Linked DNA regions of Sus scrofa. The protein of the gene in region 1 interacts with the protein of each later gene in a pairwise test. Links are inferred from orthologs where the notes say so. Each region holds a gene or a part of one and is shown in the gene's direction. Other genes may lie near its edges.

Evidence for each region.
Region 2: the proteins of WDYHV1 (region 1) and PNMA1 interact in binary tests that used the Homo sapiens proteins (3 or more experiments, as listed by UniProt). The two-hybrid records come from large-scale screens. The link is inferred for Sus scrofa from reciprocal best matches to the Homo sapiens genes NTAQ1 and PNMA1.

Annotation. Positions count from the first base shown.
Region 1 is NC_010446.5:15,981,220-15,986,896, reverse strand, and holds part of WDYHV1 (protein N-terminal glutamine amidohydrolase), read left to right. Parts: intron 1-850; coding exon 851-999; intron 1,000-1,645; coding exon 1,646-1,770; intron 1,771-5,500; coding exon 5,501-5,610; 3' UTR 5,611-5,677. UniProt on the Homo sapiens protein: Mediates the side-chain deamidation of N-terminal glutamine residues to glutamate, an important step in N-end rule pathway of protein degradation.
Region 2 is NC_010449.5:97,047,771-97,053,947, reverse strand, and holds PNMA1 (paraneoplastic antigen Ma1), read left to right. Parts: upstream 1-2,090; 5' UTR 2,091-2,930; coding exon 2,931-3,992; 3' UTR 3,993-4,798; downstream 4,799-6,177.

The DNA of each region.
Region 1 (5,677 bases):
TCATATGGTAGTTCTATATTTAGTTTTTTGAGGAATCTCCATACTGTTTTCCATAGTGACAACATTTTAAAGTCTTTCTTCCCCTCTCCAGGCTCACCATAAGCCGTCCCCTTTGTTGGTGGTTGGAGGATATCCTTGTAGGCTTTTTTCTCTGTACTCACACTCGTGCATGTGTACTTCTGAATGCTCATGTCTGTCTCTGTATACACATACATTTGAAAAATACAATAATCAGCAGTTTGCTTCCACCATCGAACCGTATAACATGGACTTAATCCACTTTCACATAAATTTACCTATTTTTTTATTTTTTGGCTGTGCCTGCAGTGTGTAGAAGTTCCCGGGCCAGGAATCGCACCTGAGCCACAGCAGTGACGTGCTAGATCCCTAACCTGCTGAGCCATTGGAGAACTCCGCATTTACCTGACTCCTTTAAGTAGCCCCCTGGGACTCCATCTTATGGCTGCACCGTAGTTTGTGAACCATTCCTCTCGGTGGACTTCTGGTTGCTTCTGAATTTTCAGTTATAAGCAATGCTGCAGAGATTTTCTTTGCATATATACCTCTCCATACACACGGCCGATTTTCTGTAGGATGGATTCCTCAGGGTAAAGTTGCTAGGCCAAGGGTGTACATTTAATGTACATCAACATTTCCACCGGTTGCTTACCTGTTCCCCGTCACTGGACTTTTGGCCTGTTTTCAGGGTTTTGTGTTTGCTTTATTTGCTGTTATAAGGAGGGCTGTATTTGTCTTGTCCATTTTTGATGATATGTATGCAGTACTGGTATACCCTTGGAATACACGATCGTAGGGTAATCTGGTTAATTTCAGCAACTTTTACTTCTAGGATTACCATGTTGTCTTGCTTCATGTGTCGAGTGGAGGACAGAGCTTCATTTATGACCTTGACACTGTCCTGCCATTTCCCTGCCCCTTTGATACGTATGTGGAAGATGCCTTTAAGTCTGATGAGGACATTCATCCGCAGTTTAGAAGGTGAGGAGATTCAAGGTGGATTTATCAACTTTCTGCAATCGGACCTTGATAATAATTAATATTCAGTTGTTTTGTTTGTGTGTTTGTTTTTGCATTGGTTTTATAAACATCAGTTGTCTGGGCTTCACCATTTAGTCGAGGTTTGAGAATGATGTGCTATATAGAAGATTCAAAATGTTTTAAAGTTTTAAATGTTGTCCGTTGTGTAAAAGGTTGGCAGTCTTTTAAAAATTTGTGTGATGAGATCCAAAACATTTTTCTGAAAGTTGTTGTGGGGCTCTCTGTCCTTTTCTTATTTTTGGGGGGAGTGTGGTGGGATGGTGTGGGGTGGGTGAGTAGGATGCCTTATGATGCCACCGTGGAGAGCGCTGTGATGGCAGTCTCTGAAAACTACCCTTTGCCCCTGATACACAGTTGGGAAAGTAAAGGCAGCTAGATATATTTCCATGCCTTTGAAGTTTGGGTTTTCAGCTGATCATTTCTCACGCTGTCTTTAACCGGTATTAAAGCAGCATGTGTATGTTTTTGTATCACAGAGTGTATAAAAAGGCCTGCGTGGTTTTGTTCATGTCATAGAACACGGTCTATGTAAGAGCTGAGTTAGGATTTCAGCTGTGATATAAAATGAATGTTGGTTTGTGTGTAGGAAATTCCGAGTGATCCGTGCAGATTCGTATTTGAAGAACTTTGCTTCTGACCGATCTCACATGAAGGATTCCAGCGGGAACTGGAGAGAACCTCCTCCGTCCTATCCCTGCATCGAGACTGGAGGTGAGCCACGGCCGCCCCCAGGGGGTTCCCGTCACTGTGCAGATGAGCGCGTTCCCTTAACCAGGGTCAGGAAGCACATTGTTCTTTGGGTAAGACCTCTGGAGAGCTAAGGAGGCAAGAGGGAGTGTCGTTCTGTGTATTCATCGGATTTAGGAATCGAGGCACGGAGAGCAGGACTGGAGGGCACCAGAACTCATGGGAGAGGAACGGTGTTAGGGCCCAAACCCTGGCACCATTGCTGGGACATTGGGCTTCGGAAGGTCTGCGTGTTCGAGTCATTTAACAGCGGGACTACAAGCATCTTGCCACGGGAGGGTTTCATGTTATGGGGAGGAAATCCCAGCGCGTCTTTGGAATGTGTGAAATGTCATTTCACTGGCTCTGTAATAAAAGCTGCCTAAGAAGGAGGTGAGAGCTAGCAGGTTTTATCGTCCCACTCATCTCATTTATGTGCTTTTAGGCATCAGTCCAAATAGTAATTCTTCCAGATTTAAGCGGATAAAGGGTTCTTCACCTCTTTCTGTTGCTTGGCACTCACCTGAAGCTGGAAACATTATTTATGATGGGAAGTAATTGGTAGCGTTGCCTTTAATTGGTGAAATCATCCTCTCACATGGATGAGGCTGTGTGAGTCAAACTGTTCTGTAAGCTGTACAGGATGCCGGAAAAATAGGACAGTGGTGTTCGGAATTCAGCAGTGAAGAGAGTAAAAAAAATATTTGGCATGTTTGAGGGGAGTGAAGACTGAAAGAGGATTCAAACTCTGATTTTTGAGGCTCTCTGTGAAAAGCTCTCATAATTTTAAAAATTTATATTGGAATTGATTTTGCCTCACCAACCGGGTTCCCAACCTCAGGGTTAGAATTGGGACAGCTGAGGTCAGGAAGGGGCCTCAGGGATCTTGCCTTCAGTCTCACTCACCAGGCTGACAGGGCCTGTGGCAGCTCTAAGGCAGAGTTTGGTGCGTAGTAGGCCTTCAGGAAACAACACCTTCTCAGCCCCTGTCCTCTGTGAGTCATTTCTTTGGGTTTGATGGCTACTACCCAGTAGGTGCTGTTTTGGGAGAGGCTTCGGTGCCAGCCCCTTTGCATCTTATTTTGGTTTAATCTTCACCACAAGAGGCAGGCTTTGTTTTCCACACTTGCCTGCCATACAGACTGGCGCACAGGCAGGTCAAGCCTGCTTCCCCAGCTGGAAGGCCTCCAAGTCCGGTAGCACCTTGTGATCGGGTGTCAGTTGCCCCCACCCTCGTGTAGCTAGCTCATCAGAGGCCTCCTGAACTTGAGATTGGAGCTCAAAGGAATCTGCTCCAAAGTGTGGGGTAAACACACTGGTTTCTCATGTCGTAATTTACTGTGTGTTCTCTTGTATGGGACATGCATTACTGCAAGCCCTGTCTTTATCAAAGCAGTATATTTGAAATTAGGTTAAGGGGGAATTACTTTCAGCTAGTTAGGGTTTTATTTAAGAAAAAACGGTTAGGAAAGAAAAAATGGTTCAAGAAAACATCACACTTCACCTCAAATATGTTGTTTAGATAGTGTGTCATTTTCCTCTTAGGTCAGTGATGTTCTGTTCATCTTTTTCAGACTTTTTCTGTATGTGCTTCATTTTCAGTAATTATTTTGCTTGTAAATTCATTGATCTTAAATCCTTTTGCGGTGCATTTTTTTTTTTCCATTTTACGTGTTTGTTTTTTCATTTCTAGATGCTCCATTTGGGGCTGATTTACTCTCTCCCCTTTTGGTCTTTGTCGTGCTCATGTTTAACTACTCTTTTGAGTAAATGGAGCCTATTTATAATCGCTGGTCCTTGTCTGCTGATTTCTCTCCTGGTTTTGAGTTGTATTTTCCTGTTTTCTTTGTATGACTCCTAATATTTGGTTGGCTGCTGGATTTTGTGCATTTCACATTGTCAGCTCCTAGATCTTGGGTTACTTTAAGAAACAGTCTTGGATTTGGTTCTGGCCCCACTTAAATTTCTGAGGGTCAGGCGGGTCCTTTCAAGGCTGGCTTGTAGGCCGTTTCCTGCGGGTTCGAGGTGGCCTTTGGCTGCTGCTGATTTAGCTTCCCCACTCTCGAGTGACCTTTCTGTGGATTCTCCCAAATGCCTGAGGGCTGGAGGGGTGTTGTTAGACTGCTTTCTGCTGCTTCTTTCCTGGACTTGTGAGATCAGTCCTTAGCCAAAGACTTGGGGGTAAAGGGCTGAGGCGCCTCTGCAGGTCTCCAGACAGCTCTCTGTGTAGTTCCCGCCTCTCTCACACTGTCCCCAGATCTAGCTGCCCTGGCCCCCTCAACTTAATTTTTTTGTTTTTTTTGGTTGCATGTGCAAGTTCCTGAGCCAGGGATCAAACCTGTGTTACAGTGGCCACCCAAGCCACAGCAGTGACAATGCCGGATCCTTAACCTGCTGAGCCACCAGGGAACTCCAGGATTTATTTTATTTTTCATTTTTTGCTTTTTTAGAGCTGTACCTGTGGCATATGGAGGTTCCCAGGCTAGGGATCAAATTGGAGCTGTCGCTGCCGGCCTATGCCACAGCCACAGCAGCATGGGATCCAAGCTGTATCTGCGACCTACACCACAGCTCATGGCAACACCGGATCCATAACCCATTGAGCAAGGCCATGGATCGAACCCGAACCTCATGGTTCATAGTTGGATTCGTTTTCACTGCGCCAGGACGGGAACTCCCTTTAGAGTCTTTTTGATATGTAGAGATTCGTAGTCCAACTCTTTTTTTTTTTTTTTTTTGGTAATTTATATGTTGGAGAAACTGAGTCTGGGAGAAAATGGTGTGGGTTTTGGTGATTGTATCTCTTTTGTGTTCTCTGAATTCCTATAAATTGGCAGTTGCCTCCAGTAAACTGGCAGTTTGCTTATTTTTACAGGTTTTCATTTAATTTTTTATTTTTGAATAACTTTATTTTTAGCCTACTAGAGAATTGGTTAAAAAATAAAACACTGCAGTTTTTCTATACCTTTTGGTCAGATCCCAGGGGAATCTGAGAAAACCATAGTGTAATTATCTAAACCAAAAAAATAATACAGTTGATACAAAAATATTGCCACAGTGCTCTTAACTTACAGACCTTATATAAGTTTTGTAATTTTTCCCACTAATTTCTTTTTTTTTGGTTTAGAATCTAACCCAGAATATTACATTTATTTGTCATCTCTCCTCACTCTCCTTCAATCTGTGACACTTTTTGTTTTTTCTTTGATAACTTTTATACTTTCAAAGGGTACTGGTCAGTGATTTTTTTTTTTTTTTTGGTCTTTTTAAGGCCATACCCACAACATATGGAAGTTCACAGGCCAGGGGTCGAATTGGAGCCGTAGCTGCCAGCCTACACCATAGCCATAGCCACAGCCAGATCTGAGCCACATCTGCGACCTGCATCGCAGCTTGCTGCCACCCCAGATCCTTAACCCACTGAGCAAAGTCAGGGATCACACCCACATCTTCATGGATACTAGTCGGGTTCTTAACCCACTGAGCCACAACAGGAACTCCAGTGACTTTGTATAGTGCGCCTCAGTTTGGGTCTTTGTGATACTTTGTCATGGTGAGATTGAGGTTATGCATTTGAGACAAGAAACCGCAGAAGTGATATTGACCCCTTGTGAAACGTGAATAATTTTCCCTACTTTTGGTCTCCTGGGTTGTTTTATTGCTGTTAAACCAAAATTGTGTTTTCAGTGGACATTTTGTTCATGTATTCTTTTAGATTCCAAAATGAACCTGAATGATTTTATCAGTATGGATCCTGAGGTGGGATGGGGAGCCGTCTACTCCCTGTCTGAATTTGTACATCGGTTTGGCAGTCAGAACTACTAAACTTGACCTGTGGATGTAGTCCTGTGGAGAAATGCTAGGACCCGAACAGATCCACCCCTTCATCTGG
Region 2 (6,177 bases), on another chromosome or scaffold:
TTAGGCTTCTATAAACTCAGTGGCCCAAGATTGCAAAAATCTGACATACTTTGCAAAAATAAGAGGGTAGCAAATTTAGGCTCTCTTCTAAATCACTTGTGTAATATGAGTGCCTTTGCAGCTTCTCCCCAAAGTGCTACTTACGTTTCCCAAGGTTTTTTCTATTTGAATTATGTTTCGTTTCAGGCCTCTTTTTTGGACATGTGGCAACAGAAACCTCCTTTGTCTAGAGTGATTCTCCTCTTCTAAGCCCAGAGAGACCAGACCAGGTGAATGTAGGTGGAAAAGATCAAGATGGTACCTCTCTGTATTAACCCCGACTGACACCATGTTTTGAAAGGGTTTACGATCCAGGATGGATTCATATTTAGAATGTAATGCGAAAGGTAAACTGTTTAGAGGGCAGATGCAATTGTGGCAAGTGACCTGCCAATAAAGTAGGTGCAGCCATAGAAGCTGGCATAGGCTTACCCTTTATGGTGCTTTCTCCCTGTGAACATATCAGGCTCGTGTTGTTTTTTTCTTTTTTCTTTTCTGTTCAGAGCTGTTTGCTTTAAGAAGTTAAGTGAAAACACCTTCAGCTTTATAATGTCCTCTGTACACCACCTTACATACCCATCTCGCAGCCTCCAGCTACACTCAGCTAAGGGCATGAGATTAACCTAGTGCCTGTGTTCTAGACCATTTCTGAGGTCTCTTAGCCACCCAAGGAGACAGGGCTTCGACACTGTCCTCCATGCCTTCAGCAACCCCTGTCACAGCTAAGGTACACACCTATCCCTTTGGCTACTCCACTTCCACCCCTGGCACAGAGGTCGTGTGCTGCTTATGTCTAAAGGGATCCCCTATATTTAACTGCCTCAATGACCTAACCTCTTTCTTCTCATGTGCCAGATGTTAAGATGAAGGAGGAATACAACACATACACAAGCCTCAGCTGTTTAAATATGTTTTTACCGGGGCTCAGTTTTCTCAGATGGTATTTATTACCAGTGGCAAGCCTAACTCCTTAGGTTTACAGGAAGTATGCATATTTTTATAAAACAATTGTATGTCCTCCCCATATTTTGCTGTATTAATATTTGCCTCTAACTAACAATTTGCAGCTGTTTCACCTTTTCCTCATTTGTCTCTTAGTCAAAGGCCTTGTTGGAGGGGACAGAGCACAGGAACAGCCTTGATAGTCTGTAATTATTGTACAAATATTTTAATAGCATATAAATAAGTATATTCCTTTTATTTTGAAAAAATCAGACACTGCCTTTTGTGTGTTTGCTGCCTGTGGCACCCTTTTTTAAAAGACTGTTACATATTAAAATAGTGTACATATATATAAATATTACCTCTTTTGCTGTACAGTTGTGATAGACCAGACGGAAGATTTTATTTTTTGTGTGCTTTTTATAAAAAAAAAAATTAACACACTAAAGAAAATCTTGCTGATGTGATTGTAATGTACCTATGTAACTTATTTACTTTTGAATGTTCTTCTGTATCTTTAAACCTTTTATTAAATAAGGTTTTAAAAATTCAGAGTTGATTTCTGTGTCCTTTGGGGGAAAGATTTATTATCTCACCATCTGGGATTGTAAGTGTGCCTTGGTTTGCTTCCAAAGGATACTTGACATTTTTGAACCATAAGGCCTGTTTTATCCATGATGCCAGGGCAGGGGAAATAACACATTAGTGTTTGCCGGGTTACTATTCATAGAGATCTAGATCTTTTTACAACATTTTAGACAAGAAGAAGTCTCAACTCACTGGGATAAAATTTAGAGGGTGCAGAGTGCAGTCAGGTGGTACAGGGTATTATACAGCATTGCCTCTGAACGAGCGACGCGAGTAGACAAGTCTTTCTTGACGGCCGGATATCATCTTAAATCCACTCCAGAATTATATTATCTTTTAAACACAGTGCTTTGTTAAGAAAAAAAAAAATCTGGAAAATGCGAAAAAGGAAATGCGCGGTAAAGGAAATTAACGCCCGCGGCCCCGAGCTGCCACCATGGCAACCATTCGCCCCTGCAGGCCGCTAGAGCTCCGGCGTCTCGCGTCGGTGGTTGCCGTGGCTACGGTCGCGCGGGCAGGGCCGCGGGGGGCGGGGCGAGGCGGGTCGAAGGCCGGCCCCGCCCTCCACTGCGGCAGTAAAGGCTAGGCTGGCTGCGGGTGGGACCGAGGTACAACTGTGCAGCTCCAGCCCACCTCGGCCCGCGGTCGCCTGCGTGCGGGGCTGCCGCGGCCTGCCTGCGACTGCGCCTGCGCCTCCTCTAGCCTGGCTTCCGCGTCTTTCCTGCGCCTCTGCTGCCTGTGTTCTTGGTCCTTGGCGTCCTCGCCGCCCAGAGGGATACGTTTGCCCACGAAGAAGCTCTCTCGGGTTGGCCTCGCTGCCGCCGCTGTCTTTCCCTTAGGACAGTCTTTCCCTCCGGGGGCGGTACTAGTTCTTGTCTGCGGAGAAGCGGCTCCTAGCTCGTCTGAGGCGTGCTCCGCTCTGGCAACGAAAGCTTGCACCCTCTGGGAGCAGCAGCGAGTGCCTGGCGCCCAGGCTGCGAAGAGGCGGCCACGTCCCGCGATCAAGCCCTGCGGCTCCTGCTTTCGCCGCCCGCCTTTTTTCCTCGCCTCTGCGCTCCGACGCGACACCTTCCTGTAAGTGGAGGACCCGGCCTGCGGATCCCGACCGGAGACACAAGATGGCGATGGCCATGTGACTGAGCATCCCCGAGGCTTCGTTCCGAGAACGCGGAGGCCTGGCTTTGAGGGGCAGCGAAAAGAGGAGAGCAGGACACTGGTGTCGTTTGTTAAACGTGATTGACTCCCTCGGGCATATGGGGGGAGGTGGCGGTGGGAGCGTCTGCTATTGTCTTCAGTTTTAGAGCACAGGGAGCCACAGTCTAATTGTATTTGTAGAATTGGGGCCCTTGATAGTTGGGAAAATGGCGATGACACTGCTGGAAGATTGGTGTAGGGGGATGGATGTGAACTCCCAGAGAGCCCTTCTGGTCTGGGGGATCCCTGTGAACTGTGATGAGACCGAAATCGAAGAGACCTTTCAAGCTGCGATGCCCCAGGTGCCCTATCGAGTGCTTGGGAGAATGTTCTGGAGGGAAGAGAATGCCAAAGCAGCCTTGTTAGAGCTCACTGGTGCTGTCGATTATGCTGCGATCCCCAGGGAGATGCCAGGTAAAGGAGGGGTCTGGAAAGTAGTCTTTAAGCCCCCCACTTCCGATGCTGAATTTTTAGAAAGGTTGCACCTCTTCCTAGCAAGAGAGGGGTGGACCGTGCAAGATGTTGCCCGTGTCCTTGGGTTTCAGAACCCCACTCCGGCCCCAGGCCCCGAAATGCCGGCAGAGATGCTAAACTATATTTTGGATAATGTTATTCAGCCTCTGGTTGAGTCCATATGGTACAAGAAGCTGACGTTGTTCTCGGGAAGGGACATTCCGGGGCCAGGGGAGGAGGCATTTGATCCCTGGCTGGAGCACACTAATGAGGTCATAGAGGAGTGGCAGGTGCCTGATGTAGAAAAGAGGCGGCGGTTGATGGAGAGCCTTAGAGGCCCTGCCGCTGATGTCATCCGCATCCTCAAGACCAACAACCCTGCGATTACCACCGCTGAATGCCTGAAGGCGCTGGAGCAGGTGTTTGGGAGCGTCGAGAGCTCTAGGGATGCGCAGGTGAGATTTCTGAACACATACCAGAACCCGGGAGAAAAATTATCTGCTTATGTGATTCGTCTGGAGCCTCTGCTGCAGAAGGTGGTTGAGAAGGGGGCCATAGATAAAGATAACGTGAACCAGGCCCGCCTGGAGCAGGTCATTGCCGGGGCCAATCACAGCGGAGCCATCCGAAGGCAGTTGTGGCTGACCGGGGCTGCTGAAGGGCCGGCCCCCAACCTCTTCCAGTTGCTGGTGCAGATCCGCGAGGAGGAGGCCAAGGAAGAGGAGGAGGAGGCTGAGGCCGCCCTCCTGCAGTTAGGCCTGGAGGGGCACTTCTGAGTCCCAGGAAAGGGGGCGTTAGTTCAGACCTAGATCACGGCTGCTTTCATTGTCTCTGTGATGTCTTACAGGTGTGTCTCCTGCTAGTAAAGACTAAGCGGTGTTTTTTGTTTTTGGGCGGGAGTCCGGCCTGGGTATTCATGTGTCATTAGCACAATCGTGCAGGGGAGCACCAGATCTGCTGCAGCGCTCGTGGGTCATGCTAGCTACAATGCCAGGGAAAGGCTTGGACGTGAGTCCTCATTGCAAGCTATCATCATGGCACCATCATCGGTTGTGAAAAATGTGGTCTCGTGACTCTTCCCATCAAGGTAATTAAATATGAAATTGCATGTTCAGATGTATAATGAGTGCAGGGCCTGGATACCAAAAGAACTGTTCAGTAAAAAATGTCAACTGTTTACTCTTAACTGTGGTGAATAGTTTTTGTGTCTACCGTAAATTGTTCCTGGTTTATATTAATGGAAAGAAATGTGAATAAGGTATTATTCAGCTTTACAGTGCAGATTTCTTACTGTACATCTTTAAAGATCTAGATCAGTTTAATTGAAAAGTGTTCTGAGACTACAAAATGGGGTGTTAGAACGATACTGCGCTTACAGGGCTGTGTAAATCAAGTTTTCACTGTGTAAGATGCAGATATAAAATGCATGGGGAGGTTAATAGGAACCAGTTACAGCATCTATTCCCCCATTTCAAATCTTTGTCATTGAAGAGTAGTTTACCATGTTCATGCTGATTCTAAATGTTTTAAATTCGAAGTTATCAAATACATGTATATTAATAAAAATATTTTTTAAATTCTCTTATTTTTCTGCAACATATAAAAATTTTCAGTGTAATTAAGCTCTGTATCTTCATTTTTTCAGGAAGATTTCCCCCATCACTAAAAAAATCCCCCAAACCTTAATTATTTTACTTTAAGCTTTATATCATACTAAGTTTAAATTGCAGTACTTTTTAATATATTCAATTTCTGCATATTTTCTACAAATGTTAGAAGGCAAAATAGTGAATATTAACTTATTATAAAATGTTATAACATCCTGAAATAGGGTTCAGGAAGTTATCTAGCAATGCTTTTTCCTCCCCTTTCAAATTCTTTTTCAGCTAAAAATGTTTCACAGGAATAATAACTCATTATATCTGCATAAAATTGTTTCAGTTTTTCAGCAGCCATTTTATATCAAGAGTTTAAAAAGGGACATATGGCTCAATAGCATGTTTATTTGGTTGTAAAGAGATTCAGTGACTGAAGATGTTCATCTTTTGAAATTCTAGTAAATCCAGAAGTGATTAAATGAACATAAGTGTTCAGTGGGGGTTTTCCCCTAGTGACAAGGCTTTAAATTTATAGTCAGCCTTTGCAACAATCGTAAAGTAAAACATTTATTTATACAGGCTAATATTGGTATATGTGCCAAGAGATTTTTCTTGCACACGTGTGTGTCCTCACTTCCCATATCTGTACCTCCCTTTCTCCTCTCAACACACGCATCTCTACAGCTTTGACCTGCACAACAGATAATGCAGATCTTCGCATATCCTCGCCACTCCCCCCCTTCCCCCCTCATTTCCACAGGAATGGCTCTGGGTACACTTTCCTCTCCTCTCACAGTCTTACCTTCACACATTCACTCCCATCATAAACATACTCTCTCCTCCCACACACATATACACACATTACACTCAGAGCAAAAACAAATGATGGCTTCTTTTTTTTTCACCCAGTAAATCATGGGCGTCCTTCTATGTGTACATAGGGATGGACCTTCTTTTTATGGCTGCTGAGCTGATTGCATATTAGGAGGGACGACCATCACTTAGGATTCTTTTATTATATATAATAGTGTATAGCTACATGCACATATTTAATGCAATACCATATACACAGAAAACAATGTCAGGATTCCTGATGTTTACCTTCTATAAAACAAAGAAAAATAATGTGCTGTTTATGATCTGAATTAAGGTTTTCTCTTTATAGGCTCAAATTTAAATCTTTGTGCTTTTTAAAGGAGGACAGCAGAAGAAACAGCCTCATAGCCAAAGAATTGTGGACGAAAGAAGTAGAAACTGCACTATAGTCTCATTCTGTGACCAAAATTACATTTGACTGAATGTGTGCTGGGAAAATGTGTAATATTATTGCTACTGTTGAGTTCTTGCCGTTTCTTGCGTATCA